4 linked regions of the Alligator mississippiensis genome follow. The protein of the gene in region 1 binds, or shares a complex with, the protein of each later gene. Links are inferred from orthologs where the notes say so. Each region holds a gene or a part of one and is shown in the gene's direction. Other genes may lie near its edges. The genes, in order: TMEM237, B9 domain-containing protein 1, TMEM216 and B9D2.

Region 1 (7,538 bases):
AACAAGGGTACACTGTTGTTGGCTCATATTCAGCGTATTGTCCACTGTAACTCCCAGGTCCATCTCTGCAGAGCTGCTGCCTTGCCAATCTGTCCCTAGCCTGTACTGGTGCATGGGTGTGTTCCATCTGTAGCACAGGACTTTGCATTTGTCCTTATTGAACCTCATGAGATTTATTTTGGTCCAATCCTTCAATTTGTCTAGGTGTCTCTGAATCCTAATCTAACCCTCCAACATATTTACTATTACCCCCAGCTTGATGTCTTCTGCAAACTTGCTGTGGGTGAACTCTATGCCATCTTCCAGGTCATTGATGAAGATATTAAACAAAACTGGCCTCAGGATCGACCCCTGGGGCACTCTGCTTGATACTGGCTGGTAACATTGAGCCATTGACTGCTACCCTCTGTCCCTCATGATATGGCCAGTTTTCTATCCAACCTGTACTTCCTTTCATCCAGCCCGTACTTCTTTCGCTTGCCTGTGAGAATATTGTGGGAGACCATATCAAAAGCCTTGCTAAAATCAAGGTATACCACATCCACTTGTCTCCCTGCATCCACAGAGCCAGCCATCTCATCATAGAAAGCAGTCAGATTGGTTAGGCATGACTTGCCCTTGGTGAATCCATGCTGACTTTTCCTAATCACCTTCTTCTCCAAGTGCTTAGAAATTAATTCCTTGAGGATCTGCTCCATGATTTTTCCAGGGACTGGGGTGAAGCCGACTGGTCTGTAGTTCCCTGGATCCTTCTTTTCCTCTTAAAGATGGGCACTATATTTTCCCTTTTCTAACCATCTGGGATCTCTCCCGATCCCCATGAGTTTTCAAAGATGATGGCCAGTGGCTCTGTAATCACTAACTCCCTTGGCACCCTCAGGTGCATTCCATCTGGTCCCATGTACTTGTACACATCCAGCTTTACTAAGTAGTTCATAACTTGTTCTTTCACCACTAAGGGATGCTCACCTCCTCCTCAGACTATGCTGCCAGGTGCAGTAATCTGGGAATTGACCTTGCCTGGGAAGACTGAGGTGAAAAAGACATTGAGCACTTCAGCCTTTTCTGCATCTTCTGTCACAAGGTTGTCTCCCCCATTCAGTAAGCGACCCACACTTTCCCTGATCCTCCACTTGCTAATGACATACTTGTAGAAACCCTTCTTGTTACCCTTCGTGTCCCTTGCTAGCTGCATCTCCAGTTGTGCTTTGGCCTTCCTGACTTCATCCCTGCATGCTCAAGCAATACTTTTATACTCTTCCCTAGTTGTTTGTCTGAGTTTCCACTTACAAGTTTCCTTTTTGTGATTTAGTTTACTGAAGAGTTCCCAGCTAAGCCAAGCTGGTCTTCTGTCATACTTGCTAGGTTTCCTGCACATCGGGATGGTTTGTTCCTGCACTATCATTAAGATTTCTTTAAAGTACAACCAGCTCTCCTGTACTCCTCTCCCCCTTCAACTGGCTTCCCAGGGGATCGTGCTCATGAGTTCCCTGAGCAACTCAAAGTTTGCTTTTCTGAAGTGCAGGGTCCTTAGTCTGCTGCTATCCATCCTTCCTTTCCTCAAGATCCTGAACTCAGTCATCTCGTGGTTGCTGCTGCCCTAGTTGCCGTCCATTACTACATTTCCCCACCAATTCTTTCCTGTTTGTGAGCAGCAGATCAAAAGGAGCACAGCCCTTAGTTGGCCACTCCAGCATTTGCACCATTTAAAAAACTTCCTGGATTGCCTGTGCATTGCTGTATTGTCCTCCCAGCAGATGTCAGGGTGATTGAAGTCTCCCATATATAACAGTATGGAATATTTTATAACCTGAATACATTAGAACCGTTTCTGTTTGCGAATGAGATTTTGTTTTGTTGTTTGATCTCCTGAGGAATATCTGACAAATGCATATGCTGCAGTCTAGTAGATAACAGTATATATTGTGCAGAGTTGGCAAATGAAGTTGTTTTGAAATTTTTCAGATTTTAGTTTTTAAAAACCTAATAATGATTATATGTGCATAAAAAGCTATGACTGATTGTGGGGTTATACTCTGCCAACATTTTTGCTAAGCTTCCTGTTGGAATTGTCCAACAAGAAGAGTAAGTAGCAGCTGGCTTCATGGATCTTGATGGGAGGGTGTTTGTATCCACTGCCATATAAATTGTATTTGCTTTCAGTCTACCTTCTAACATAGATAAAATCTAGGATAGGGACATGAGGTCAAATCCATCTTCACACTAGTCTCACTTGCTTCAGTTAAATTAGCATAGCTAAAGTTTACTCATGTAAATAAAGGAGTGGTTCTCAATATTTTTAGACTCAAGGACCCCCTGGAGAGACTAGAGGCATGCCTTGGAGAATGTCAGCTCTTAGTTTTTACTCTTTGCCTACAGAAAACTAGTGTGTGTATGTGTGTGTGGGGGGGGAAGGTTCTGTTGCAAAGAAATCAAAAAGATCATAGCTATGGATTTCTGTTTGAAATCTCTGGGTTTATGTTGTGAGTCAAGTTTGAAAACCTAACAATGCCTAACATTGTGTGGCACCCCACAGCCTCCTTGAAAGGATCTTGAGATTGCCACAGCCCCTGCTTTGAATCACTGGTAAAGAATCAGGGTGTCAAGGTCTTGCATTTTTAGTTGTACGCAGTAATAACAGCCCCATTGCTGCTCCTAGTGGAAGCTGATGGCAGAACTCTTATTGACTTCAGTGTGAGTAGTATCGGGTCCTAAATTGGGGACAGCGAGGTTCACATACAGTTAATCTTGTCTGGGAAGCTTATTTTTAGTGCTGAATTAGCTGACGATCAATGTAAGCAGTGTCAGAGGGAATAGTTTAGTGTCTCTCTCAGGGACCAGCTTTAAATGACATGGGAAAGAAGCAAGTGGTAAGTTCAGTTTGGAGGAACTTTGCCTTGTTTCATTTTTGTGGGGCTTTTATTTAAATTTAAGTTTTTATCTGGAGCGTGGAGTAGTTTTCCCTTTTGTCTAGTACACTAAGACAATAAATAATCTGAATCTAAGCTGTTTTACTCTTCTAGGTAAGAGAATTATCAAGTGTGTGGGCTATACACCTGCTATTCTGTCAACAAGAAATATTTTTCTTTGAGTGTTAATTCTGTTTTCCCTTATGGTCATGATCTTCACCACTGTGAAAATATTCTGTTTTATTGAACATTTTATAATATTAAACAGTCTAGTCGGCATTTTAACAACAGTCAGGACTATCTCACTGCCCTTGTTTGTACTTCTAAATGTAAGATTTCATTGGTGATTCCTATAATTGTTCTTGATATAATATAAAAATATATTGATATTAAATGCCTACTTTCAGCAGTGTTCTTCTATTGTGTTCAGTACCTGACTAGAATGATAAATTGTCTTTCCTATGCATGTAGTTTTCTTATAAAAAGGTGAAGGTATTTAAAGAGTACTGTTACCACTTAGATGGTTATAGTTTATCTAAAATATAGCACGTATCAGAACTGAGGCATTGACGCAAAATATGTACCAGACACTGCTTTACAATTCTACATCTTAACTTCCATCCAGTGATCTCAAAACATATTTGTGAATTGTTTATACATACAGTGTTCAGAATTGCCTTTCGGAAGACTATCGATGTAGCCTATGTTAGAGACATCTAACATAATATCATTCCAAGGTCATACTTGGAATTAGCTGTTTTCTCTGAAATAATTTAGTAGGGGCTCAAAAGGTAAAAGATTTCATGACACACTAATGGAAGGTTTTTGTCTTTTCTGTTTCAGCGTCCACCCCGTGCCCTTCCTCCTGTGCCAAGGTAGGTTTATTTTATTCTATGTATTTTGGTAGTTTGGGAACACTGGAATGTACTTGAAAATTATGAAATTAAGAAAGATGAGTGCAGTAAACACATAAGGCACTCATAATGCTGTTAAATGATTTAGCAAAATCTCACTAAGGTGACAAATATTGCTCTCTCTTTGTTTTAATTTTTTACTGAATAAAATTTTAACGTAATTTAAGAGTAGATCTATCATTTTTTAAAACTAAAATTAAGGCTTTTTCCTTTTATAAATCTAATTATATTATATTTTCACACTTCACCAAAGAAATTTGCTATAGACTACATTGTTATACAAGATTTTACCTTAGCAGCAAATAATTGTAACTACTTTTTTAAAAAGTACCTTTAAAAATGGGCAAGTGGTAGGACAGTGTAAGGGCCTTGTTGTATGTTACACTGTGAGCTGCTCAAATGTTGATTGGTGTTACTGCTAGCTTGAATTTGGGGCAGTCGCACATTCAGGCGAACAGGGGCCTGGAGGACTGAGAAGTAAGAATCCTCCCCTCCCAATTTGGGGTTCCCACCTCCCAACCCCTCCTCTTACTTGTGGCTGCTGTCTATCCCAGGGGAGCAGACAGGGAAGGGTTAACCCACCTACCTACCTGCCTGCCCCCCTCTCCTCCCCTTTGCTGCTCTTCTCAGGGCTGAGCCTAGCCCAGGGAGCAAGGACTGGCAGGCAGATTAACCTTTCCTTGCCTGCTTGCCCAGGACAGATGGTGTGGGCAGCCACAAGTAAGTGGGGGGAGCAGTCAGTGGGGATCTGAGGTGCTGGTGAGCACATAGCAGGGGCAGCATGCCTGATTCAGGCCAGCAGGGGAACTGGAGATTGGATGGGGTGTAACACTAATGTGTAGCCTAGAGTTGCTGTATGCATGTATAACACAAGTTAGGTGACACAGATCAGAGAAATATAGCCTGGAGTGGCATAACAAAGCCATCTAAAGCAGTGTTTCTCAACTCGTGGGTCGCAACCTAAAAGCAGGTAGCAAGAATATATAAAAGGGTCATGAACAAACTTTAAAAATGGATTCTTCTTTAAAGGAGAAAAACATGGGAAACCATGACTTTTCCCTTGCAGGCTGGCAGAGTTCCAGTCTGCAAGGGGCTACTTGGTGCCCCCCACATGCTCACCCCCTGCTCCTCATGCTGTGGGTTGGGGCCTGGGGGCATGGAGCAGCGGGTTGGGAGCATGGGGCACCAGGGCGGGCCTGGCCATCCATGTTTACAAATGAGTCCTGGTCCAAAAAAGGTTGAGAACCACTGATCTAAAGAGTGCTTAAAACTAATTCCAGGTGTTAATGTGTTCAGGGGTTAAAAGCTCCAGGAGCTGCCTAAAATTAACGTATAACAAGGCCTTAACTTTGACTATCTAGAAGTTTAGGGGTATGGGTCCCTGCTACTCTTGTAAGACTTTTCATTTTTTAAAGAGACTGGGAAGCAGTTTAATTTGTTATATTACCTCATCATTTTGTGTTATTTGTTGGGGGAAAAACAGGTAAAAAGAAAAAAAGTCATAGACAAAAAGGCTACTTCAGTCTCACTAACTTATTTTCAGCCCCTTATCTTCCTCTTCCAAATGTCTCCTCTTGTCTATATTTTAGATTTTGAGAGCTTTGAGTAGAAACTTTTTTATCAGACTGGTGTCCAACATATCTTGAATATGGGAATAAGAATTTTCTGAATATGCCATATTGACACAGGAGTTGAAAAGATTTTATCCTTAAATTTCTATGTTCCATACATCAAGATAGGTTTTGATGGTAGGAATGGGAATTGGGCATTTTTATGGTCCGTTATGTCAAAATTCTTAAAAGTACTTGGAGGCGCATATACATTAGGGGTGTGCAAAGTGGGCCCCATTTGATTCAGGTTCAGATTTGGCCCAAATCAGGGACAGTGATTCGATTAGTTGATTCAGATCACTGTCCTTGATTTGATTCAGCCAAATCTGAATCTGAAGTTTCGATGCTGATTCAGGGAATCAGTGATTCGGACATAGACATAACTTTAAAAGTTTTTTCTACATACGTCGAGGTACCAGGCGTGACTTGTGATCGCTGCGATGCTGGGGTGCATGGAGCGTCCTACAGGAGTGTGGGGCGGGGGCGCTCCACGTGCTAGGCAGCGAACCCGGAAATGGACCGGAAGTACTTCTGGTTCATTTACAGGTCTGCTGGGGAGTGCTCTGGGGGGCCCCCCCACACCTTTCCCAGCTTGGCGATCGGCAATCAGCCATGGGGGGACCTTGGGTGCCCCCCCAGACCCAGGAGGCACTAGTTGCTGAGCTTATGGGGTGCAGGGGAGGGGGGGAGGCGCCTCCTGCGTGCTCCCCAGCGGACCTGGAAGTGGACCGGAAGTGCTTCTGATCCACTACCAGGACTGCTGCTAAGTACGCGAGCTGCCTGCTACCTAGAGATATGTAGAAAAAACATTTAAAGCTGTGTATATGTCCAAATCTCCGAATCTTTCTGAATCGATTTGGAGGGCTCCAATTTGAGTTGGAGAGATTAAAGGGTCCTCTGATTCGATTTGGAGATTTGGCCACTGAATCAAGCCAAATCTCTGCCAAATCAAATCAGGGACCAAAGCTTCACACAGCTGTAACATTGTACTCGTAAACATCACAGAGGAAACTGTGAATACTGATCATGAAATAGCTGCTTGCCTGACTAATTTATAGCTTCTTTCCTTGGTTCATGCATAGCAGACAGTCAGACAAGTTCTAATTAAATAGTCTAACAAAAGCTTTTAATTGTATCTACAGCTAACCAATCAAGAAACTGTACCTAGTCACATGAGGCAGACAAAATGTTCAGTCTTCGGTCTTGTTAAGCAGCCTTAATGTTGTCATATTTAAATGGTTGTAAAAAGTAAGGTTAAGGGATGTGAATAGACCATATACATTTTTATGCTTTAAGTCGGTTGCATTTTGAGTTTTAGTACAGTTCTGAATTGCAACTGATTTAACACTAATGTTCTTGTCCTTTAATATTGTTTTTTTCATGTTTCTTTCCAATATAATGGGAAAAAAACCTTGGAACTGAAGTGGAAACCATGGTGAGTTGGTTCATTGTTGACAAAACTCTGTCCATACAGAGTCCTTTTAGGTTTCTGTTTATTTTTCTTGGTTCTGTTTTTAATGTTAAATGTGTGAACTTCTAAAGTTTTGCCTAACAGCAGGTTGCTAACTATTATAAATTATTAAAGCTGCTTGCAAACACCCCCCCCCAGTACTATAATTTAAACTTGGTGCACTCCTGTGCCAAGCTCTGCATATGCCCAGAAGAGGCAGCGTGTTAGTTGGACCCGGCTCACTCAACATCTGTACAGATCAGGTGCTTTAGTGAGCTTTTTTAAATGTCTCCAAGCTGCCTAAGTGCTTTATGTGTTTGTGGACCAGATTCTTCAAAAGTATTAATTGCTTTTGATTGCCCAACATGAAACACTGGGGAAAATCCTCCTTTTCAGATGGAGAATGATTTAATTTGGAAAAGAAAAAAAATCAGCTATGCATTGCACAGGCTATACCTTACCATTGTCAATTCTGGTTGCCCTTTTCTGGATTGTATAATTCTCTGTTGTCTGTTTTGAGATGAGGTATCTAAACTTGGACTTTATGATCTAAATGAGTTTTATTATTCTTTAGAGCATCATTATAATATTTTCTTTCTTTTTAATGTACTATGGCAGGCCTAGCCTGGCTGGGAGGTCATAACCCCCAGCTGGC
Region 2 (7,661 bases), on another chromosome or scaffold:
CTGGGAAGTAACTGCCATTGCAGCAGTGTTGGCCAAAAGCCTTGCTTTCCTGCCTTCTGAAACAGCCTGCATCGCTCCATCGCTCACCTGAAATCTCCCCTTCGTTGCCTGGTGCACCTCGGTTCCTTCCTCCCTTGGCCGTTCCCCATCGTTTCACTCAATGGTGATATCTGCCAATTTGTGGGAGGCACGGGTTGGGTGAGGAGAGCCCCCTTCGCAGCACGGAGCATGGGACTGGGGCAGGTTCTTGGTGGCAACAGCCCGTTCTCTTTGCAGCAAGGTTTTGGTGGGCGCTGAGGTTAGGGAATGGATCCAGTTTGGTTTAGGAAGTGCTGCCCGTGGCATAAGGGCACTTAGCGCTCGGGGTCATTATGCTTCCAGCTAGGACGTGCTGCAACTCAAAGAGTACTTGACTTGCTTTCAGGACCGCAAGGTGCGGGAGCGTGGTAGACACCTGCACTCGTCGCACACTGTGCTCAGCACTGTGATGTCTGATAAGAGGAGACCTTGTAGGAGGCTGCCCTAATTTGCACCCCTGGTTAGCAACCGTTTGGGAATCGAGAGCTTGGAGGTGACAGGTTGCCCCAAGTTTCATCTGGCTAAGGTGGCTTGCAAAGCCTGCCTGCGTGCGGACACGAGCCGTCTCACGTATCTCATGTTTGCCTGGCTGCATGGCTGAAACGTGCTGGCCGGTGCATGTTGTGTCCTCGAGCCGTGAAGGATGCGGGGCTGTTATGGGGTCCGACTTGGCACTGGAGTTCAGACTGGAAAGGCCTGAGGTCTTGTTCACGCTGGGAAAAGATAACTGGAGTAGCTGTACCAACCAGACACCCCAGGGAGAAGCTACTTAGGCACACCAGTTCTTTTACTGGTGTATAATATACCAGTTCCCTGACTAGACTATGGGCAAAGGCCCGATCCTGCAAGTATAAATGTCCCTACACTGGGGCTCTTGCCAGCACCATGATGCAAATGTAGATGTACGTGACTTATTTTTCCCCCCACAGTATCGTCCATCATCGCTGGGAAAACTTTTCCAAGTAGACTGGGAACCTCAGCAGTCAGTGCCTCCAGCTTCTCAGCCAAGATGGTACTTCTCACCGGTGGGGAGCAATATCTCTTCCCCTCGTCATTCAGCAATAGTCTCAGCAGATCCCAGCAACGAGCCCATCTCAGCACTTCACCCTTCTGCAGGATGAGAGGTTCTGCTAAAGGAGCTGTGGTTGTGTTCATCCATTTCTTAAGCTGTCCTCCCCCATGAAATGCACTGTAAATCGTCTCCTTGGACCAATGTGCAAATCCCCCTCCTAACTATATGGCTCCCTAAAGCGCTCAAATATGGACAGTGAGATTCTCCAAAGTTTCTACGCCCCTAAATCCCACTGAGTTCAGCGAGAGCTAAGCACCTAAATATCTCCAAAAACCTGAGCTAACGCTGTTCAGTTATGGTGAGCGTGCAGGGTTAAGAGTTACTCTGCCCTCTTTGTCTTGTAAAATATTGTGGTGCCTTTAAACTTTTCTTTCAACAGCAATGTAAGCCATATTTCCTTTTAATGATAGGAGCAGCCCCACAACTGGTAATCCGCTGGTGGCATCTAGTGGCAGTCAGCAGCGTTACCTATTTATGCGGCAGCAAAGTTTAGATTTTCTTTCAGGTGCCGCAAGTCCAAAAGAAACAGGCTTATTCTCTGAACGTTACATTTTCAAATCAAAATATTTGTTTTGGAACCAAGTGAACATCGAGGCTATTTTTCTCTGGCAGAAACAAAAGATTTTGCAATCATCTCTTGGACGCCTGCTAGAACTGGCTGGGTTTTGTACAAGGAACGTTTTGTTTCTCATGCGGTCAGGCCGCTGCCTTGCGGATCTGATTGTAGCCGCCCACTGGATATCGGAGAGCAAAATGGGATTTGCTTGACCTGATTCTTATCAGAGGTTTACACCATGTGTCGAATAAATAAGTCTAAGGGCAAGCCCAGTGTCCAGATGCGTTGGATGGGGCCTGCGGCACTTGAATATACGATCAGGTTTGTATGTATATGGTGGCTTAGGTGAAATATAAGCAGATTCAGTAGACAGTGGTCTAGACACTCAGGGTAAGTAAGGCATGAGATCAAGTTAGGCCTCCAGTTTTTAAACTTTAACCCAGGACAGCTGGCAGAAGTTATGGTGCACCATGCCACTGCGTGCCGAAAGCAGGAACGGGTCGATTTTGAAGGTGTGGGGGGATGAGGCTGCCCACTCCTTTCAAGACAGTGCCTTCTCTCTGCCTGGCCCCAACCTACGCACTTGCCCTTTCTCCTCCTCTCCCAGCAAATCTACTTCTCCCACGATGCCCACTTTGTTCCAGGCCTGTGTGACGCGCCTAAAGCTTCATTCTTGGATGCCACTGTGTGGAGACAACCTTTAAACTTCCTTTCAACCCGAGTCTGACTTTTTGAACAGGCCAAGCGAACTGAACAGAGACACTGGGCGTGTCTATACGTGCATGTACTGTGCAGCAAGTTACTGCGCAGTAAGCGGTTTTTAGGCCAGCATCTACACGTGCAGGCGTTACAGCGTAGGAAGGCTGTGTGGACTGACTTGGGACTAAAGTTAGTCCAGAGTCAGTCCACACACAATGTTACTATGCTGTAACGCCTGCACACGTACACGCCTGCACGTGTAGACTAACTAAAGCTAGTCCCAAGTCAGTCCACGCACAACGTTACTATGCTGTAACACCTGCACGTGTAGACTAACTAAAGTTAGTCCCAAGTCAGTCCACACAGTGTTACTGCACAGTAAGGCAACTACACGTGCCTTACTGCGCAATAACTAATTGGGCATAAATTTCCTACCTCAATCATGCAAGTAGCAAATTTACACCCAAGTCAGCCTAAGTCGCCATAGTAACTGCACAGTACGGGCGTGCACGTGTAGACACGTGCCCGTACTGCACAGTAATTTTCGGTTACTGCACCGTAACCTAAATTATTGTGCGGTAACTGTGCATGTGTAGACGCACCTACTGAATGCATCCAGGTAGATTAGTGCTGGCTCCTAGAGTTAGCTGTGCTGGTTCGCCTTCTCCACTGGCTGCCCACCATCTCGAGGGACTCATCTGGTTTTCCAGAACAAGGAAATACTTCAAAATAAACCCCTAGCAAAAGGCTGAGACAGAGTCCAGAAACAGAGATACAGGGAGGTTTCCAGGGACTCAAAAGAGCCCAAAAGCCAGCTCATCAGATCCCCTTGAAAAACCAGTTTGTTTCCAGCGTGGGCTTCAAAAACACAACACGCAGCCACCTCTACGTTCTCTTAATAGTGTATCTATTTTTTAATAACTTGCTTCACAGAGAAGCCGGGCTGGAAGGGATCTCCAGACGTCACCAAGGGATCCTGAGGCAGGATCATCCCTATCTGACCCATCCTATATGAATCCATCATCTAAATTGGACAGAAGAGCTTCTGCCATCCTAGCCGGCGACCAGCGGGGTATTTTCACCCCATTTCCAGCTTCCGAAGGAGCTCTGTGAAAAGCAGATGGGAGGCAAGGCGTTTTGAAACGGCAGGCGGTCTTCCCTGGTGAAGAAGAATAGGGGTTTTGACTGCAGGGGTGCCAACTTCCTTTGAATCTATTCCAGGAGGTTTCATCCCGTGACGGGACAACATTCATTACGGTGCGCAGACTTCACGTCCGGAAGGCCGGTGCACGGGACGCTGACATTTTACAAACCCCACCGGACTACTGTACAAATCAGATTCAACATTGCATATTTATCCGAATGAATGCCCTCTCATTTATCCTCCCAGCGACTCTCAGTCATCTCCTAGGGGTTTATATCTAATTCCTGGAGATGCCAGGGCAGTCCTGGAGGGTTGGCAATGACAACCTCGTCTTGAGGAAGGTGGAAGAGGCTTTCCCTAGGATCTGGGGGCAGAGGAAAGCCGTACGCCTGCTCCCCAAGCTTGTCACACTCCGACAATGCCAGCCCTGGGTTTCATTTGGGGTTGCTTCTTGTTTTGTTTTGGGCGGTTTTTTGACTCTAGGAAAACCTGCCTCGGGTTTCACTGTTTCTAGTAAAAAACCAAAACAAAAAAAAACCAAACAAAACAAAAATCCCAAAAGGGACCAGCCTTGGGTTTTACTTTTTCTAGTAAAAAACAAAAAAAAAAACCCCAAAAAACAAAAACCGGAAAGGGACCAGCCCAGGTTTCACACTGTCTAGTAAAAAGCAACAACAACAAAACAAACACACAAAAGGGACCAGCTTCACATTCACTTTTTCTAGTTTAAAAAAAAAAACTCCTAAAAAACAAAACAAAACAAAAAAAACCACAAAAGGGACCAGCCTCAGGTTTCACTTTAAAAAACCCAAAAAATACCCCAAAAGGGACCAGCTCAGGTTTCACTTTTTCTAGTAAAAACAAAAAACAAAGATACAAAAAAAGGGACCAGCTCAGGTTTCACTTTTTCTATAGAAAAGCAAAGCAAAGCGAAGCGAAGCGAAGCGAAGCGAAGCCAGGCGGGGTTTGATTGCGAAGCGCTCCGGACAGCCCGCAGCAGGGCAGAGCGCTCCAGCCCCGGCGCTGGCCCCGCCCCTTTGGCGCAGCGCCGCCCGCGAGGAAGTGTGTCCCCTGCGCCTCGCCGTCCGGTATCTAAGGAGCGGCGCGACAGCGGCCCTTAGCAACGAGCCGGGGCGGGCCGCCCGCCGCTATGGCCGCTGCCGCCAGCCCCAGCGTCTTCCTACTCATGGTGACGGGGCAGATCGAGAGCGCCCAGGTAAGTGCGGCTGCACTCATGCGCCATTACACCCCCCCCCCCCCCCACGTTGGAGTCTGGGGTGACCGCCCCCTTCCTCGGGGCGCCCCCTGTAGGCTGATGTCCCCGACTCCCCGCAGAGCGCATGCGCCATTGCACCCTGTGCCGGGCAGGACGCCGAGCCTCTGCAGAGCACATGCGCTGTTGCGCCCTCTGCTGGGTTAGTGCTCACGGGTCCGGTTCCCTGGAGAACGCATGCGTCATTGCATCCTCTGCGGGGCACGAGTGGGGGGGAGGAGCTTGCGCAGAGCGCATGCGCTATTGCGCCCCCTGCTGGGCTGGAATGCAGAGAGCATGCACCAAGTTGGGCAGCAGGGTGGAGGGGGCGCCCTGGGCAGGGGGCAAGGGTGGGAGGGGCATCACCCCATTATTGGTGGCGTGTTTTACCCACCAGGTGGGATTTGCCCCGGGATAAATTCTTTTCTCCCAGGATCATGCAAAGGGATGAGCCCCCTTGACGTCTGTGGGAAGCATCTGGACGGCAAGTCCGATCCAGGACTTTGTCCCCAGACATATCCCACCCCTGCACTCACCCCGGCTGCACGGTGACCCAAAGAAGGGGGTTTGCACCCGAAAGTTTGCAAAGAAAAATTGTTCCATGTCTTCCATTTGGTCTAATAAAAGATACCGGATTTACCCAATGAGCCTTGTCTGTAACATGACCCAAAGAGTAATGGCAATGAGCTCGAACTAGCCCCGATCATCCGGGGGGAAAGGGCTCCTCTGGGCTACTGATTAGACAACCGATTAGATTCAGATTTCAGCATTTCTCAGGCAACCCCAGCGGGACTGGCCGTTCGTCCACATCAAGTACGCAGGAAGCGTCCAAATTAATGCTTGGCCTTGGGACGCTCGCAGCTAATTCAAGTTCATTGCCATTTAACCCTGGTGTTCAGACAGCTGAGCTACATCTTTTAACGTGAGTCAAATCTCAGGCGAATCAGTTTTAATGCGAGTCAAATCTATCAGCCGTGGATTAAACCTGTCATCTGTTTATTACCCTCAAAGACTTGACAGGTGCTTAATATGGGACGAGGAGCTTGTAAATCTGTAGGATGCCAGGATTTATTTTATATATATATATATATATATATATATATATATATATATATATATAAAAAAAATTATATATATATATAAAATAAATCCTGGCATCCTACAGATATATTTAAAATTTGTATCCAAGGCCAAATTAGCCAAAACTAATTCCAAATCCAAGAGTGCAGAACCATAAGTGGTCCTACTACTGGCAAACATCCTCCACCTGCACCTGGGGCTTCAGATGTTTCCAAATCCTTTGGTGGGCATCCCAATGGCAGACCCAAGCCCGGAGGCTGGGGGTTCGGATGCCCCCGAGTTTTGCTTGCCCTTAGCCATAAGGCCCTTGGAGCAAGCAAGGGAGAATGCCAGGATAAAAGGCTTTGTCCCAGGATAAATTGGTCAGCTGTTCACAAACTTGAAATCATGCATTTCCCTGAGATGATCGTAGAATCATAGAAAGTTAGGGTTGGGAGGGAGCTCAGGACGGCACAGCTAGTGCAACCCCCTGCTCAAAGTAGGACCAGCCCCAACTACAGCATCCCAGCCAAAGCAATGTCTAGCCAGGTTTTGAAAATCCCCAAGGATGGAGACTCCACCACCTCTCTGGGTCACCTGTTCAGTGCTTTACTACCCTCCTAGGGAGAAAAATCTTCCAAATATCTAACCTGAACTCCCCTTGCTGCAACTAGAGCCTGTTGCTCCTTGTCCTGTCATCTGCCCCCACTGAGACCAGCCCAGCTCCATCCTCTTTGCAGCCCCCCTGCAGGGAGGTGAAGGCTGCTGTTCAATCCCCCTCAGTCTTCTCTTCTGCAGACTCAATCAGCCCATTTCCTTCAGCCTCTTCTCACCAGTCCTGTCCCCAAGCTCCTGAACCATTTTTGTTGCCCTTCGCTAGACTCCAACTTGTCCACATCCCTTCTGTAGTGGGGGCCCCAAAACTGGACACCGGACTCCAGATGTGGCCTCCCCAGTGCTGACTAGAGGGGAAGAATCACTGCCCTCCATCCTGCTGGCAATGCTCCTACCAACGCAGCCCAGGATGCCGGTAGCCTTCTTGGCACCAAGGGCACATTGCTGGCTCATATCCAGCTTATTGTCCGCTGTCACCCCCAGGTCCTTTTCTGCAGAGCAGCTGCCCAGCCAGTCACCCCCAGCCTGCACCAGTGCATGGGATTGTTCAGTCCTAAATGCAGGACTTTGCACTTGTCCTTGTTCAACTTCATGAGATTTCTTTTGCTCTAGTCCTCCGATTTGTCGAGGTCTCTCTGAATCCTAGTCCTACCCTCCAGCATATCTACTACTCCCCCCAGTTTGGTGTCATCCACAAACTTGCCAAAGGTGTGCTCTATGTCACCTTCCAGGTCAATGAAGACATTGAACAAAACCAGCCCTGGGAACAACCCCTGGGGCACTGCACTTGATACCGGCTGCCAACTAGACATCGAGCCATTAAGCCTGATGCTCCAGCGAGTTTTCTATCCACCTTGCAGTCCATTCATCCAGCCCATGACTTCCTTAGCTTGCCTGCGGGAATGTTGTGGGAAACCGTATCAAAAGCCTTGCTAAAATCAAGGTACACCACATCCACCGGTCTCCCCACATCCACAGAGTCAGTCACCTTGTCAAACAAGGCAATCAGGTTGGTCAGACATGACTTACCCCTGGTGAATCCATGCTGACTGTTCCTGATCACCTTCTTCTCCTCCAAGTGCTTAGAAATGGATTCCTTGAGGACCTGCTCCTTGATTTTTCCAGGGACTGAGATGAGGCTGACTGGTCTGTAGTTCCCTGGATCCTGCTTTTTTCCTTTTCCTAA
Region 3 (6,954 bases), on another chromosome or scaffold:
GTTGGGAGGGGGTGCCTGTGCGGAGACAGTGTCACGGGCACGGGGTAGGCAAGGGTCCCCCTCCTCCCCCCGGCCCAGGCCTTGCCAGGAATAACACCCACATCTCCCCCTCCCCCACCCCCCAGGCTCCGGGGCGCGTCCGTAGGGCGAGGCGGCGCAGGAGGCCCCGGGCCCCGGGAATGAGGTGGCTCCGCAGCCCGGAATGCAGCCACTGAGAACACGGCCCGCGGGGAAAGATGATGCTGCAGACCAGCAGCTACAGCATGGTGCTCTCCCTGCAGTTCCTGCTGCTCTTCTACGACCTCTTCGTCAACTCCTTCTCGGAGCTGCTGCGCGCTGCGCCCGTCATCCAGCTCGTGCTCTTCATGTGAGTGCCGGCAACCGGGGATGGCAGGGTCCCCACAGGTGCCTGGGAGTTCACCGCCCTCTCTCTCCCCCACAGCATCCAGGATATTGCCGTCCTCTTCAACGTCATCATCATCTTCCTCATGTTCTTCAACACTTTCGTCTTCCAGGCCGGCCTGGTCAACCTGCTGTTCCATAAGTTCAAAGGGACCATCATCCTGTCGGCAGTGTACCTGGCTCTGAGCATCTCCTTCCACATCTGGGTCATGGTAGGGCAGGACCGTGCCAGCTTCTGGGATCAGGGCGTCTCGCCAAGGGGCATAAGAATCCCTTATCTGTCTAGTCAGGGACTTCATCCTCCTCCAGAGCAGTTGAGCTCATCCAGCAGTACCTGACACCCTGCGGGATGAATCTGCCTCCTCTGGTAGCCCCCTCTGACAGTGCCTGATATCTACAGTTTCAGACGTAGGCCCCAGGATCTCCCTGTGGTGTACCCAGCCCGTTTTGGCCACCCGCTAGAGAGAACCTCTCCTGTGAAGTCTTGCCAGGCTGAAGCTGTGCTTGGATCCTACCCTGCCCTTTCAGTCTGAGAGGTCAGGACTCTTGCACCTTGGAAGGACCCCATGTCCCCGACTCACCTGGAGACACAGTGGGGCTACGAAAAGAATGAACTTGCATGTAGCCACGCAGTATCAGAGCCCCTGTGCCCCCAGGACCTCCCTGAACATGTTTGTCACACCTTGCTCCAAACAAGGGAGGAGCTCTGGAGCATTAGGGAAGAGAGTGCAAGTCCCTTTCCCTCCTGTCCTCCCAGAGGGCAGCAGCAGGGTTGGGGGGAGCTCCACTCTTGTCTCCCTTGTGACAGGGAGGATCTTGCTCTCCTCAGGTGCACAGAATCTTTCTTGGATGGGGCTAAGTTTGCTTCTCTACTCCCAGCATTGCGCTGCCACATCCCAGGAGGCTGAATGCAGGGCCAAGCAGAAACTCATACTGTCTGCCAGGTTCAGGGTGGGACATTCCTCCATTACTGAATGTCTGGCCAGCTACTGCTTTGGAGGGCATAATCCTGGTTGGGACTGCAAACTGATTGCTGGGGGTGCTTCCCAGGCTGGGTCCTGTGCTGTGACTGCAGGCAGGCTTTGCTGTCTAAGTCCAGGCCTTTCTTGGTGTCATAGTGAGAAAGGAGGCTGGGGCTGGGGGCAGTCACTCAACAGTTCAGGCATTGTACAGAGCTGAGAGGGTTTGTTGGTTCAAAATGTGAGGATTAGCCCACCTCCTCCCAGCAGCACTTGGAGGCCAGTGCCAGAGCAAGCAAAGGCATCGGTGCCAGAGCAAGCAGAGGCATTGGTGCCAGAGCAAGGCTGGCAGGGAAGCAGCTCTCCCAGTGGAGAAACAGAGGGTTTCCCTCCTGCCTGGAGGGTTATAGACCTGGCTGTCAGCTTGGCATCAGGTCATGCAAACCTGACAGCTGGGACTATTACTACTCCATGACTTTCTGTTCATGATGATCTTGCTCCATGGAGAACCAAAGCCAGTGCTAGACAGCACCCTCCTGACAGGGGCCAAGCTGCTGATTTCAGTGATCACTTGTGGGTGCTTTCTAAGTGGGATACGGTGAGGGAGTCATGTTTAAAAAGACAAGAGTTGTGAAATGGTTGTGGCTGGGAGTCCTCAGACTAGAAGGGAGTAGCCTGCCCTGGATGCTGGGCTGCTGCTGGCTCTGGTTCCCTGTAGTAACCAATTCTCCAAGTAAAGCTAATCCACTGTCAGAGTGGCTTGATGGCAGGTGTGATGTGTTGCATGGGATTACTGCCCTGGCAAGAGGTGCTGGAAAGCTATCCCAAGGCACAGCAGGGGGAGTGTGTGATGCACCCAAAACCACAGAGTAAGCAAACAGAAGAACTGAGGGTAGAACCCAGGTATCCTGTTTCATCCCTTCCCTCTGCCTGCATCCCTGTTCCTAGACCATAGCCCCACTGCTCTGAGGTGCCTTTTGCCTAGATCAGGTGAGGGCTTCTGCATTGTGGGTGCTGCCTGTGGCTCTGCCTGGACAGGGTGATTTAAGAGGATTCCCAGAGAGATGCTTCCAGGCTGATCTCTGATTAACCTCTGCATGCTTCGAGAGCTGCTCCCTGGCTGTTCTGCTCTGTGTCTACAATCAGAATGGGCTTAGAGACAGACAGTTATTCTTGCAGGGAAAGGGATCAGGGCAGTGGAGGGATTTTTCACCCTGCTTGCCCACTAGGGGGCACCAACTGGCTCTGGGAAGCTGACACAGCTGCCTTTCACTGAGGAGCTGCAGTTAGTGTGACATAAGTTGAAGGCTGAACAAAGCCTGGAGGGGGAGCTGTGGCCCTTTAGAAGAGACCCAGTAGGCAGTGCTGTGGTCTGGCACTGGGCTTATGTCCCCCCCACCCAAGGCCTCTGCTCCTGGTGTATGTGTGTCTCTTTCAGAACCTGCGCTGGAAGGACTCCAATGGCTTCGTGTGGACAGATGGGCTGCAGGCACTCTTCGTGTTCCAGAGGCTGGGTAAGGGCTGGAGGCAGACTGATGCAGGGCAGAGGGATGGACAGACATGCAGGGAGCCATTAACAGCCCTCCCTGCACACACAGCACAGCTACTGTGCTGTCAGTGGGGTGGGCTATGGTGCCCCCAGCCTGGGATTGGGGGTTAAGACACAGTGTTTGGCCAGGCTCCCAGTTCTGTCTGGGGGCATGAGGCCTCCCAGCACACTGGTGTGCCCCTTTAGGCAGTGGGGGTGGGGTAGCTCTGGCCTGCTGGGCTTGCTCTCACCCACTCTCGCTCCCACCAGCGGCTGTGCTGTATTACTACTTCTACAAGAGGACTGCTGTGCACCTGGGTGACCCCCGCTTCTACCAGGACTCCATGTGGCTGCGCAAAGAGTTTGCTCAGATCCGCACCTGATGATCCTCTCAGGCACTGGACTTGGGGATGGTCTGCCCACTAGTTCTGCACCTCGCTGCTCAGCACCCTCCAAGAGAGGCGGACAGTCACCCTCGAGGCCAGCACCTCAATGCTGCATCTGCCCCTCACTCGCACCCCTCCGCTCCTTCTCCCCGCCGGAGAGTGTGGACCACTCCCAGCCCTGCTCTGGCCCTAGCTGCTGCCTCCTCATGCACTGACGCGAAGGGCCAGATGTGTGTGATTGTGCCCTGCTGGCACCGCAGCTGCCCTTTCTCATCCCCCTGCCTGTCACTCGCCCTTCAGCTCCGGGCACCTGCTAGCAGCAGCTCCCACGCCCGTTCCACTTGGTGTCCTGGGCAGGCCGAGGCTGGCTGTACGGCCCTGGGGCCTCTCTGCCCTCATTAGCCTGTCCTTTTGTACCCCGTTTTATAAACGAGCAGAAAATTAAAAAGGCTCCATTTTCCAAAACCTGGTGCTGTGTGTGTGCATGCAGGCGAGTCTCCAGGGTGCTGGCCTGCCATACTCTCAGTGGCTACTGTCGCAGGAGGCCAGAGGCTGAATCCCCTGCTCTGGCTGCGGCCCCCCAGCCTGGCCGCGGCCGGGGAAAGAAGTCTCAGTGGCCGCCCCGGGGGGGGGGGGTGTCACGTGACTCCGAGCGGGTCCTCCAGAGGCGGAGCGGCGGGCTGCTCGCCAGCCCCCGCGCTCCCGGAAGCGCCGGCGCTGCGTGCCATGGTTTCCATGGAGATGGAAGATGGCGCCCAGAAGTAAGTGCGGGGGGCGCGGGACCAGGCCGAGCTCCCCCAGCCTCCGCGGGGGTCACGTGACCCTTCTGGGCCCGCCCTACTGGCCCCCCCCGCAGGTCCAGTGGCCAAAGCCCCCGGGAGCAGCCCCCGGCGCTGGGCAGTGATGGGGGGGGCCCTGCCCTTGAGCGGAGAAAGGCAGAGCAAGACCCGGGGCGTGATGTCGGAGCTGGGCGCGGCGGCTGCAAACGGGGCGCGGGCTGCCCCTGGGAGGGGCTTGTGTCCGGTCCTAGCTCCGGAGCCCGGCCGGGCGAGGACCCTGCGACAGCACCAGGCAGTTGTAAGGAGGAGGGCGGACCAGCTGCTGAACCTCCTTTGTGGCGCCAACGTCTGTTAGGGGGGCAGCTCCCAGCCTCAGCACAGAGCAGCCCCTCGCTGCAAAGCGCTGACAGGCCAAACGGGCAGCGAGAGCGGTGGGTTATGTTATCCCTAGCTTAGCAAGAGGAAACAGGGAGTAACTTGGGATCAGATGTGTCTAACGCAATTTCTTTGCAGATGGGGGTGTGGAGGGAATCATTTGGTTACAGTCTGATGTCTTGAATGGCGGAGGCTAGAGGACCTCCCCCCCACAACAGTGTTTTGAACCAGAACGGGTCTCAAAGAAACCCCTTGGCCTTGGTTTAGCAGCAGCTGGGGAGGTAGAAGCTGGGGGAAAGCTGTTCCAACGGTTACTTGCCTTCACTGCTCGAGACATGCACCTTATTTCCAGGCTAATGGTGGCAGGCTTCAACTTCCAGCCCCAGGAGCTTGTGTGTTTGTTCGCGGCCAGGATGCTGAGGTTGAGAGCTAGGCCTATCATTACACAGCGATGGTGGTCCCAGGCTCATCAGGAACTACAGGCCCCCTCAGTGGGTGGAGAGCAGCCACTACATGAAGGATGACTAAGTGTTTTGGATAAGGGATGAAAGCACAGGAACGGGAGCACAGGTCAGAGGTTGGTAAGGAGGGCGCCGAGAGAGATCACTGAGCAGGAAACGCCAGTTATTGCCCGCTGCCCCTTGAGTGGATCCAGGGAGTCTGTGGATGCTGCTTAGGGACGTTCTTCTCAGAGGCATGCGTGGGCAAGGAAGGCACCCCAGTTCCCCTTGGCCAGCACCTTCTTTCTGGCCGGGAATGGGAGTCTGGTCCCAGCTCTGCCATAGATCTGAAGGCAAGTTGCTTCACTTCTATGGGCCTCAGTTTCCCTACCTGTAATATGGGGGCAGCTGCCTTCCTTCACAAAGTGCTTTGGGACCAGCAGATGAACAGGGCTAGAGTAGGGAGCCCGTCACATTGGTTTGTTCCTCACCCACTGCCGGGGTGTTAGCACCAGGCCCTTTGAAGACCTCGTTAGGTCCCTACTTGCATTTTAGGATGCTGAGGAGCCTTTTAACACCAGCCCTCAGCAACCTGCCCAGTTCCCATGGAGCTGGGGATGGAGGAGCATCCTAGATTCCTTGCACACCAGGGCCTTCACCACCTTTCCTCTTGTTCAGCCCCATGCATTTGATGCCCCCAGAGAGCCATGCAGCTCCTCAGCCAAGAAGGAGGGAGCAGCATCTTGGGAAAATATATATGACCCTTTCCTCCTCCTTGCTAAGGTGCCTTACCTGTTCATGCTCTGCTTGCTTTCTCCACCCACCCCCCAGGTCGCCAGCTCTCCTCCACCCCATTGGAAATCCTGCTGTTCCTCAATGGTTGGTATTACGCGACCTACTTCCTCCTGGAGATCTTCATATTTGTCTATAAGGGTAAGAGACCTTCCCAGGCGCTTGTATGTGCTGTAGCCCACCACTGATTGCATTGGACATCAGATGCTGCCCACAGGCTGATGGAAGAGCGACAGAATGAGCTGACCCCTGCATACTTAGAGGCTTCCCTAGCACCGCTCCAGCCCATCCATCTACATCAGTGGCCCCAGCCCCCTGCAAGACTGCACCTGAGCAGGGAGGGGTGGGAGAAAGCCAGAAACTTTGCAGTTTGGCTCAGGCAGGAGCTGTTAGACAGCCTGTCTTCCCTGGGCTTTGTAACCTCTCTGACCACTGGCACATCCCTAGGGCTTATCAGTTTATTCAGTGGGTAAGGGACAGTGGCACCCCAGAGAAAAAGGGTGGGGGTGTGGCCTTGCTCTCCTCCTGAAAGGGATGGCCTTTGTGCCACAGGGCTGCTGTTACCTTACCCATCTGCCAACCTGGCCCTGGACCTGGTCATGCTCTTCCTCTACCTTGGCATCGAAGTCACACGGATATTTTTTGGTGAGTATTTAGGAAGAACAGGGCCAGGTGCCACCTCATGGTAAGAGCCTGGGGTGGGCTTGGGCTGGTGACAAGCAGTTGTCAAACAAGTGGCTTTTGGTCCCCACCACAGGGTCACTGTCCTAAAGCAAAGGGGCTCCTCACTTCAGCCAATTGGGCGCCCAACAAGAACCCAACTGGGCATCCAACAAGAACCAATACCATAGGGAGGAATCTCCCCGTACCACATTCCTGGCCTGTGGCCAGTGCCCTAGAGGCAAAGAACCTTTTACCCGATTCCCGGGCTCCGTGGGCAGGCAGATCCTGAGCACCACCTCTTTGTAGGGAACGACACGGGCTGTGCATGAGATGCTCACAGCCACATTTCATGACAGGCTCCAAGGGGAACCTGTGCCAGCGGAAGGTGCCACTCTCCATCAGCCTGGCCCTGACCTTCCCAGCGGCTGTGATGGCAGCCTACTACCTGCTGCTGCAGACCTATGCCCTGCGCCTGGAGGCCATCCTTAATGCCATCCTGCTGCTCTTCTATGCTGTGGAGCTGCTCCTGGGCATCCTCACCCTGGCCTCCTTCTCCAGGTAACTGTTCCTCTGCTGTAGGGGGAAATGAGATGGGTAGGGGAGGAAGACCCTGAGTAGCCCAGTGGAAAC
Region 4 (7,176 bases), on another chromosome or scaffold:
GGGGTCCTGGCTGGGGTTGAGGATCTGGCCCTGGCGGTCCATGACGCGGTAGACGGGGATGCCAGCCAGCACGTTGGGCTGGATGAAGTCCAGCGTGTCCACGAAGGCGGCCGAGGCGCCGGGGAACTGGGGGCGCTCCGCCGGCGACGGGAACTCCTCCTGCTGCCTCGCGGCATGCTGGGAAGGGGCGCCGTTACCCATCAGGCCCCGCGGTGCCCCCCCCAGATGATGTCACGGGCCCCCCGAGCTGTGCGGGGAAGGGGTGGGCTCTGCCCTCCATCTACACCCGGGGGGGCTGGTGTTTGGGGCGGTCCCTGTGCCCCCCCCCCCCCCCCCCCGGCACCTCCTGGACCAGGGTGCCCTTGGGTGCGGCAATGTCAAGGCCGCGGGGAGGGGCCAGCTGGGGGAGGGGGGGCACGCCCCCGGTGCGGACCAATCAGTGGCCGAGGCTGGGGGGCGTGCTTGCCACCTGCCCCAGGATGGGGGGGCTGATACCCCTCTGAGCTGCCAGGGGGGCTAAAGCCAGCTCTGCCCCCCCCAAAACAGGGTGGGGGTAACTGCTGGGGGGGCAAAGCTCATCCCGCCCCCCCAGGAGAACCCCTGCCCCACCCCACTGTGGGAGGATTGCCTCCCCACACACGTGACACCCCCCTCGCGTGCCCCCCACCTAGGGGGGATGTGCCCCACCAGGCCCCGCCCCCGCCGAGGCCCCGCCCCGCAGGCCCCGCCCCCGCGCTCACCCCCGTGCGCAGTCCCCGCAGCTGCAGGAGGCGCAGGCCCCTCCGCATGCCACAGGCCGCCGCCATCTTGGTGCGGGCGCGGGGGCCGATGGGAGAAGGGGGAATGGGGGTGTCACCATAGCAACGGCGTGTCTCTGCCCTTTTAGGGAAGCCCCGCCCCCACGGTGGCCCCGCCCCATGCCTACGCGGTGTGCTGATTGGCTAACGAGGAACAACGCCACACCCTGTCAGGGAGAGGGGGCGTGGCTTCGCGCACCCCGCCGCGCTGATTGGCTGGGCCGCGCCCGGCCCCTCTGTCAGGGAGAGGGGCGGGGCCTGCACCCATTGGGCGCCGTGATTGGCAGGGGCGCGTGCTTCTCCGGCCTATCCGGGGTAGGGGCGCCCAAGAGGCGCATCCATTGGCTGCCGTGCGTTCCAGCCCCCCACCCGCCTCGAGGGGCGGGGACTGCGCGTAAGAGACGCTGCGATTGGGCAGGAGCCGCGTTGGGAAGGAGGGGAAGGCTGCCCCGGAAGCGGAAGCTGCGCGTGCGGGCGGCATGGGCTCGGAGCCGGAGCCGGGCTGCGCCCTGCGGCCCTTTGCCGTGGAGCAGGGGCTACTGTCGCGGCCCGACGGCTCCGCCGCCTTCGTGCAGGGTGCGGGGGCGGGGCTTCGAGCGTGGGGGCGGGGCTAAGGGCTTTCCCCGCCCCCGTTGACCCCGGTGCCCCGCAGGCGACACGTCGGTGCTGGCGGGCGTCTACGGCCCGGCCGAGGTGCGGAGCAGCCGCGAGAGCCCCGAGCGCGCCGCGCTGGACGTGCTGCTGCGGCCCAAAGTGGGGCTCCCCGGTGAGGTGACCCCTGACCCCGGGGTCATTCCCCGCCCTCCACCTCCGTGCCGTGGGGGGGAGGGCACGGGCTTCTCCCCATCACGTGACGGGGTGGGGGCGCCTACAGAGGCCTGGACACTTGGGTTTTGCACTGGGGGGTGATGCCCTCCCTGGAGGGTCACGGGGGGCGGGGCTTCCTGCTGACCCTTGACCCCCCGCAGGCGTGTTGGAGCGGAGCCGGGAGCAGATGGTGCGGCGCGCGTGCGAGGCGGCGCTGCTGGGCGAGCTGCACCCCCGCTCCTCCGTCACCCTCGTGCTGCAGGTCGTCAGCGACGCCGGCTCCGTATCCTGCCCTGGGGGGGGCAGAGATGCACCCCCCCTCGTCATCGTTCAACCTCGCCGGGCCCCCTGGGAAGGACGGGGGGTGGGGTGGGGGTGAGGCTGCTCTAACCGCTAGGCCCCGGGGACCGGGTCGTTGGCCTTGACCCCGGGCCCAGCTGCTGTCGTGCTGCCTGAACGCCGCCTGCCTGGCGCTGCTGGACGCGGGGCTGCCCCTGCGCTCGCTCTTCTGCGGGGTCACCTGCGCCCTCGCGCCCGACGGCGCCGTCGCTCTGGACCCCAGCGCCCGCCAGGAGAAGGTGGGGGGGGGTGTAAGGGATGGGGGAGCAGATGGGAGCCGGACGCCTGGATTCTCTGGGAGGGGGGCGATGCCTCGTGCGTGGAGTAAGGGGGGGGCCTAAAATCTAGGACGGGATCGCTCCTTGGTGTGAGGCTGCAGGAGGAAGGGGGGCTGCTGGGGGGCAGAGGGGAGCCTGCACGCCTGGGGTCACACTCTTGCCCCGCAGGAGGCCCGGGCGGTGCTGACCTTCGCCTTCGAGAGCACGGAGAAGAGGTTGCTGCTCTCCACCACGCGCGGGGCCTGCTCTGCCAAGGAGGTGAGCGCCCCCGTCGTCCCCGTTAGGCTGGGGGTGCTCGGCAATCCCAGCATGCCTTGGGTGGGGTCCTGTCTCCTGGGGGGGAGGGGCCTGGCTGCCTGCCTGCCTGCCTGTACTGGGGTCCTAGTGCAGCCCTGACCTCTATTCCTCCTCCCAGTTACACCAGTGCCTGGCTCTGGCTCAGCGCGCCACCGACACCATCTTCCAGTTCTACCGTGACTCGGCCAGAAGGAAGTTCTCCAAGAGCTGAGGCCCCTGCGGGGAGCCGGACCCCCGCAGACCCGGGGGGGGGGGGGGCAAGGACATGCCTCAGGGCAGCAATGGGCAGCTGAACTGAAGGTGGGGGGGGGCTGTGGGTCGGGAGTGAGGGGCAGCAGTGGGGGCGGAGGGGTGGGAGTGAGGGGTGCTTCCGCCCAGGGGCTACCCAGTGTTCTGGTGGGATGGGGGGGCCTGCTCTGGCATTGGGGTCCCCAAATAAAGAGCACACGGTCTGTGCTGTTGCCCCCCAGCACCCAAGCATCTGTCTTGTCCTTAATGACACATGTTTTTTGTGGTTGGTTACCTGTGTGTGTGTGTGTGTGTGTGTGTACACACGTATACTGGTGGCTTCCCCATCCCCGGGGGGGGGTGGTTCTCTCCACCTTTCCCTACCCCCACCCCCAGTCTTCCCCTTGGTTCTGGTCACGGGCAGGGGGCGGTGGGTTGGGGGTGAGGGGCACTGGCTGGACTGGGGGGCAGGGGCTGCCAGGGGGTGGTGGGACCTGTGCTCTCCACGGCTGCTGTGGCGCTTGGGGCGGGGGACCCGTTAGCTGCATTTAATGAGCTCTGGGGGTGTGGGCAGCATCCTATCAAGCCTCTGCCTAACAAGCCTGGCGCTGTGGCTGGGCTCTTCGTTTACCGACAGCCCCAGATCTGGCCCGGACCCCTCTCGAAGGCAGGGGTGGAGGCCCATAGGGCTGCCAGGCCGCAGAGCGAGGGTGCTACGTGCAGACCTATCTACCTCTGGGCCTGTGCTGCTGGGGCGCAAGGGAGGGGGAAGTAGGGCCCATCCGTGGCCCTCAGGGCATTGGCAGGGCACCTCGGGCTGCCAGCAAGGCTGTTGCTGGAAAACGTGTCCCCAGGGCCATGGCCTGCCCCAGGTGTACAGTGAGGGGCCGTGGCACCCCACAAAACAGCCACCCTGGGGCTGTGGCACCCCCGGGTGGCTGCCATGGGGCTGGGGCAGTTCCACGCTGGCCGCCCTGGAGCCATGATGCCCCTCTTAAGGCAGCTGAGACCTGTGGCTCCCTCACGGGGGTTTCCATGGCGCTGTGGTACCCTAAAGGTGACGGTGGTACTCTGGGGTGGCTGCGGTGGAGCTGTGGCACCCCCATGAGGGTGGTCATGCACGGCGGCATCCTAGAGTAGCTGCCCCTGGGCCCTGCCACACTCAATATGGCGGCGGAGCCCCTCCCCCGGGCCTGTGACCCACCCAAGATGGTGGCGCTCTCCTATTGCGGCCAATGCTGCTTTGCCACACCCAAGGTGGCGCTGCGCCCGGCCATCGTGCTCCCTTCCCACGATGGCGGCGCTCTCCGTGCGGCAGTTCGACCTCCTCAAGATGGCGGGCAGCGCTCTCTTCCCTTCCTCCCGCTCTCTTGGGCGGGGCTGCGAGTGATACGTCAGCGCGCTCGGTACTCCGACCAATCAGAAGCCGGCATTCCGCAGGGGCCTGCCCGGTTGCCGTGGCAGCGGCATCCGGAAGTGGTCCGGAGTGCAGGGGCGAGTGGAGTCCTGCGGGTGCAGGCGCACGTGTGTGCATAGGGTGAGGGTGCAAGAGGGGTGTGCAAGGGGCTTTGCGCGGTTAGTGTGCAAGGGCGTGTGCACAGGTTGAATATGTAAGGGACGTGCACGGGACAAGCGTGTAAAGGAGTGCGCATAGGGGGAGCGTGCCAGCGGGTACAACGGGCTGGGCCGGGTGTGTGTGCAAGGGTGTGTGTGTTGCCAGAGTATGTAAAGGAGTTGGCACGGTGAGTGTGCAAGGATGTGTGTCGGGTGAGTGTGCAATGGACTTTGCATAACTGCAAGAGGGGAGTCATCACGTAAAGCGTGCAAGGGGCTTTGCACGGTGAGTGGGTGAGGGGTTAGGCACAAGTGAAGCGTGCAAAGGGGCTGGCATGGGGTAAGTGTGCAAGGGGGCACGCGCAGGGTGGGTGAGCGAGCGAGTGCGCGTGGCGACATGCATGGGGGTTGTTACACTGAGTGTGCACAGAGTGAGTGTGCAAGGTAGGGGGTATGTGCGGGGGTGCAGACACAGGTGTGACAGATGTGTCCACATGTGCAAGCTGGCAGGGCCCCGGGGGGCACGGGGGGGGGGGCACAGGTCAAGGTACAGGGCAGTGGCTGGGGGGTGGGGGCAGGGGGTCGGTGTGCGGGGCGGGGCAGGGGGCCGCAGGGCAGTGGGTGGGGGCAGGGGTCAGGGTGCGGGGCAGTGGCTGGGCGTGGGGGGGGGGGCACCGGCAGCTCGTCCCCGGGGTGCTGAGCCGGGCGCGGGGTCCGCAGGCCATGGCCGAGCTGCACGTCATCGGTCAGATCGTGGGCGCCAGCGGCTTCCCCGGCACCAGCCTCTTCTGCAAGTGGGGCATCCACGCAGGTCGGTGCCCGCCCCCCCTCCCCCCCCCCCCCCAGTCTCGTGGCTCGGCTCAGCCTAATGAGGGGTGAGATGCCGGGAAGGGGGAGAGGGGGGCTTCCCGGATGCCTGGGCTCCTCGGGATGGGAGGGGTCCGCGGGCAAGGAGCAGGCGGAGGGGGGGGCCCAGACACCTGGGAGCGGAGGGGGCCGAGGGGTTGCAGGCCTGGGCTTTGCTCTCCCCCCCCCCAGCTAGCAGTGGGGTGTAGTGGTTAGAGCAGGGGGCTCAGACACCTGGGTTCTCTCCTGGACTTTAGGGCCTAGTGGTTGTTGGGGGGGGGGGTGAGGGGTTCCCTCCCCAGGCCCAGCAGAGGAGCAGGGCCTGGTGGTGGGAGCGTGGGGGCAGGTGGGGGGCGGGTGCCTGGGTCCCATCCGGCCGTGCCCCCCTGGCAGGCGGCGCCTGGAAGCTGCTGTCAGGGCTGCCGGAGGGGCAGACGCAGGTGGACCAGCCCCAGCTGGACGACGTGGCCTACTGGTGCCACCCCATTGACGTGCACTTCGCCACCAAGGGGCTGCAGGGTGAGAACCTGCCCCCCCCCGGGGGCATTTTGGGATGGGGGCGCAGGAGCCTGCCTAATCCCCTCTTGCCCCTGCCCCCTCAGGCTGGCCGCAGCTGCACCTGCAGGTGTGGCACCAGGACGGGTTTGGGCGCACGGAGCTGTACGGCTACGGCTGCCTGCACGTGCCAGCGGCGCCCGGCTGCCACACGATCGCCTGCCCCACGTGGCGCCCGCGGGGGTCGTGGCCCGAGCGCCTGGCACAGCGCTTCGTGGGGGGGGGCCCCCAGCTGCGCCAGCCCCAGGCTGCCGCCGCCGCGCCCGAGCGCCACCGCCTGCGCACCACCGCCGCCGGCACCGTGCACCTGCGCCTCGGCGTCCTGCCGCGCCACTTCGCCCGCTACGGCGTTGAGTGCTAGCACCACCCCCCCCCACGGGCGCTCCCTGAGGACCCCCAGAGTCCCCCTGACCCCCCAATGCCCCTCCTACCACCTGGGGCCCCCTATAAACCCCCCCTACAGATCCCCCCCACGGGATCTCCCTGTCCCTCTTACCCTCTGCCCCCCACAGCCCCCCCATGCTTGCCATGGCCTCTACCTGCATCCCCGTTCCCCTGTGGCTACACCTCCCCCCCCCCATACCCCTCTTACTCCCTGGCGCTTCCCAGAGACCCCCACGGCCCCCCGCTACTGCCCACAGGTTCCCCCTGCCCGCCCACTATCCCCTGGCCCCCCCACAGAGCCCCCCACAGTCATTCCCTGCCCCCATTCCCCTGGGGCCACACCCTCTGACCCCCTGAGGCTCCCCATGGACCCCCCGCGGGCCCCTCCTGCCCCCCCAGACCCACCCTGGAGGTTGGGAAGGCCGAGGGGCTGTGGCTGGGGGCGGACAGAGGCCCCCCCACCGCGCTGCTGGTCTTGGCGCTGATGTGGGGCCAGACCCCCCTGCACTAGGATTCCCTCCCGGCTCTGAGACCCCCCCATTTGTACAGACCCCCCCTCCTTTTTCTATAAAGGCTCTTTTGTACCACGAGGTCTCGGGGGGAGTTTGTCTCTGCCCAGAGGTTCCCCTGGGGCACCTCCTGCCCCCCAGGGGCAAAAGAAGCCCCCTCCACTAGCTGCCATGACCTCCGCGCTGCCCCACCAGGGGGCGCCCTGCTGCCGGCTCCCATCCCCCCTGTGCCCCCCATTCACCCCTGCCATGGCTGGGCAGAGACCCCCCCTCCCCCCCGCCCAGTCCCATGGCTCGGCTCAGCCTAACGAGGGGTCAGATGCCGGGAAGGGGGGCGGGGGGGGGCTTCCCGGATGCCTGGGAAGGGGAGGGGTCTGCGGGCAAGGAGCAGGGGGCAGACACCTGGGTCCTCTGGGAGAGGGGGGCGGGGCGAGGGGTTGGAGACCTGTCTTTGCCCCGCCCCCCGCTTGCAGTGGGGTGTAGTGGTTAGAGCAGGGGGCTGCCTGCTGGGCCCCGGGCCTAGTGGTTAGAGCGGGGGGGGGGAGGGCAGGAGCCCTGGGTTTCCCTGGGAGCTGCGGCTGC

Evidence for each region.
Region 2: TMEM237 (region 1) and B9 domain-containing protein 1 share a complex: the UniProt entries of both Homo sapiens proteins name them as parts of the tectonic-like complex. The link is inferred for Alligator mississippiensis from reciprocal best matches to the Homo sapiens genes TMEM237 and B9D1.
Region 3: TMEM237 (region 1) and TMEM216 share a complex: the UniProt entries of both Homo sapiens proteins name them as parts of the tectonic-like complex. The link is inferred for Alligator mississippiensis from reciprocal best matches to the Homo sapiens genes TMEM237 and TMEM216.
Region 4: TMEM237 (region 1) and B9D2 share a complex: the UniProt entries of both Homo sapiens proteins name them as parts of the tectonic-like complex. The link is inferred for Alligator mississippiensis from reciprocal best matches to the Homo sapiens genes TMEM237 and B9D2.

The regions. Positions count from the first base shown.
Region 1 is NC_081827.1:170,806,873-170,814,410, reverse strand, and holds the start of TMEM237 (transmembrane protein 237), read left to right. Parts: upstream 1-4,524; coding exon 4,525-4,543; intron 4,544-7,538. UniProt on the Homo sapiens protein: Component of the transition zone in primary cilia. Required for ciliogenesis.
Region 2 is NC_081836.1:55,341,161-55,348,821, reverse strand, and holds the start of B9 domain-containing protein 1, read left to right. Parts: upstream 1-4,655; 5' UTR 4,656-4,699; coding exon 4,700-4,765; intron 4,766-7,661. UniProt on the Homo sapiens protein: Component of the tectonic-like complex, a complex localized at the transition zone of primary cilia and acting as a barrier that prevents diffusion of transmembrane proteins between the cilia and plasma membranes.
Region 3 is NC_081825.1:177,624,845-177,631,798, forward strand, and holds the start of TMEM216 (transmembrane protein 216), read left to right. Parts: upstream 1-3,935; 5' UTR 3,936-4,023; coding exon 4,024-4,036; intron 4,037-4,358; exon of another isoform or gene 4,359-5,006; intron 5,007-5,700; coding exon 5,701-5,802; intron 5,803-6,213; coding exon 6,214-6,306; intron 6,307-6,680; coding exon 6,681-6,882; intron 6,883-6,954. Other genes in the region: TMEM138 (transmembrane protein 138), read left to right, coding at 237-367, 443-614, 2,800-2,875, 3,160-3,272. UniProt on the Homo sapiens protein: Part of the tectonic-like complex which is required for tissue-specific ciliogenesis and may regulate ciliary membrane composition.
Region 4 is NC_081838.1:1,541,093-1,548,268, reverse strand, and holds B9D2 (B9 domain-containing protein 2), read left to right. Parts: upstream 1-4,166; 5' UTR 4,167-4,586; intron 4,587-5,020; 5' UTR 5,021-5,023; coding exon 5,024-5,111; intron 5,112-5,539; coding exon 5,540-5,665; intron 5,666-5,748; coding exon 5,749-6,062; 3' UTR 6,063-6,672; downstream 6,673-7,176. Other genes in the region: BCKDHA (2-oxoisovalerate dehydrogenase subunit alpha, mitochondrial), read right to left, coding at 1-177, 741-806; EXOSC5 (exosome complex component RRP46), read left to right, coding at 1,277-1,373, 1,450-1,563, 1,766-1,887, 2,042-2,182, 2,390-2,479, 2,637-2,729. UniProt on the Homo sapiens protein: Component of the tectonic-like complex, a complex localized at the transition zone of primary cilia and acting as a barrier that prevents diffusion of transmembrane proteins between the cilia and plasma membranes.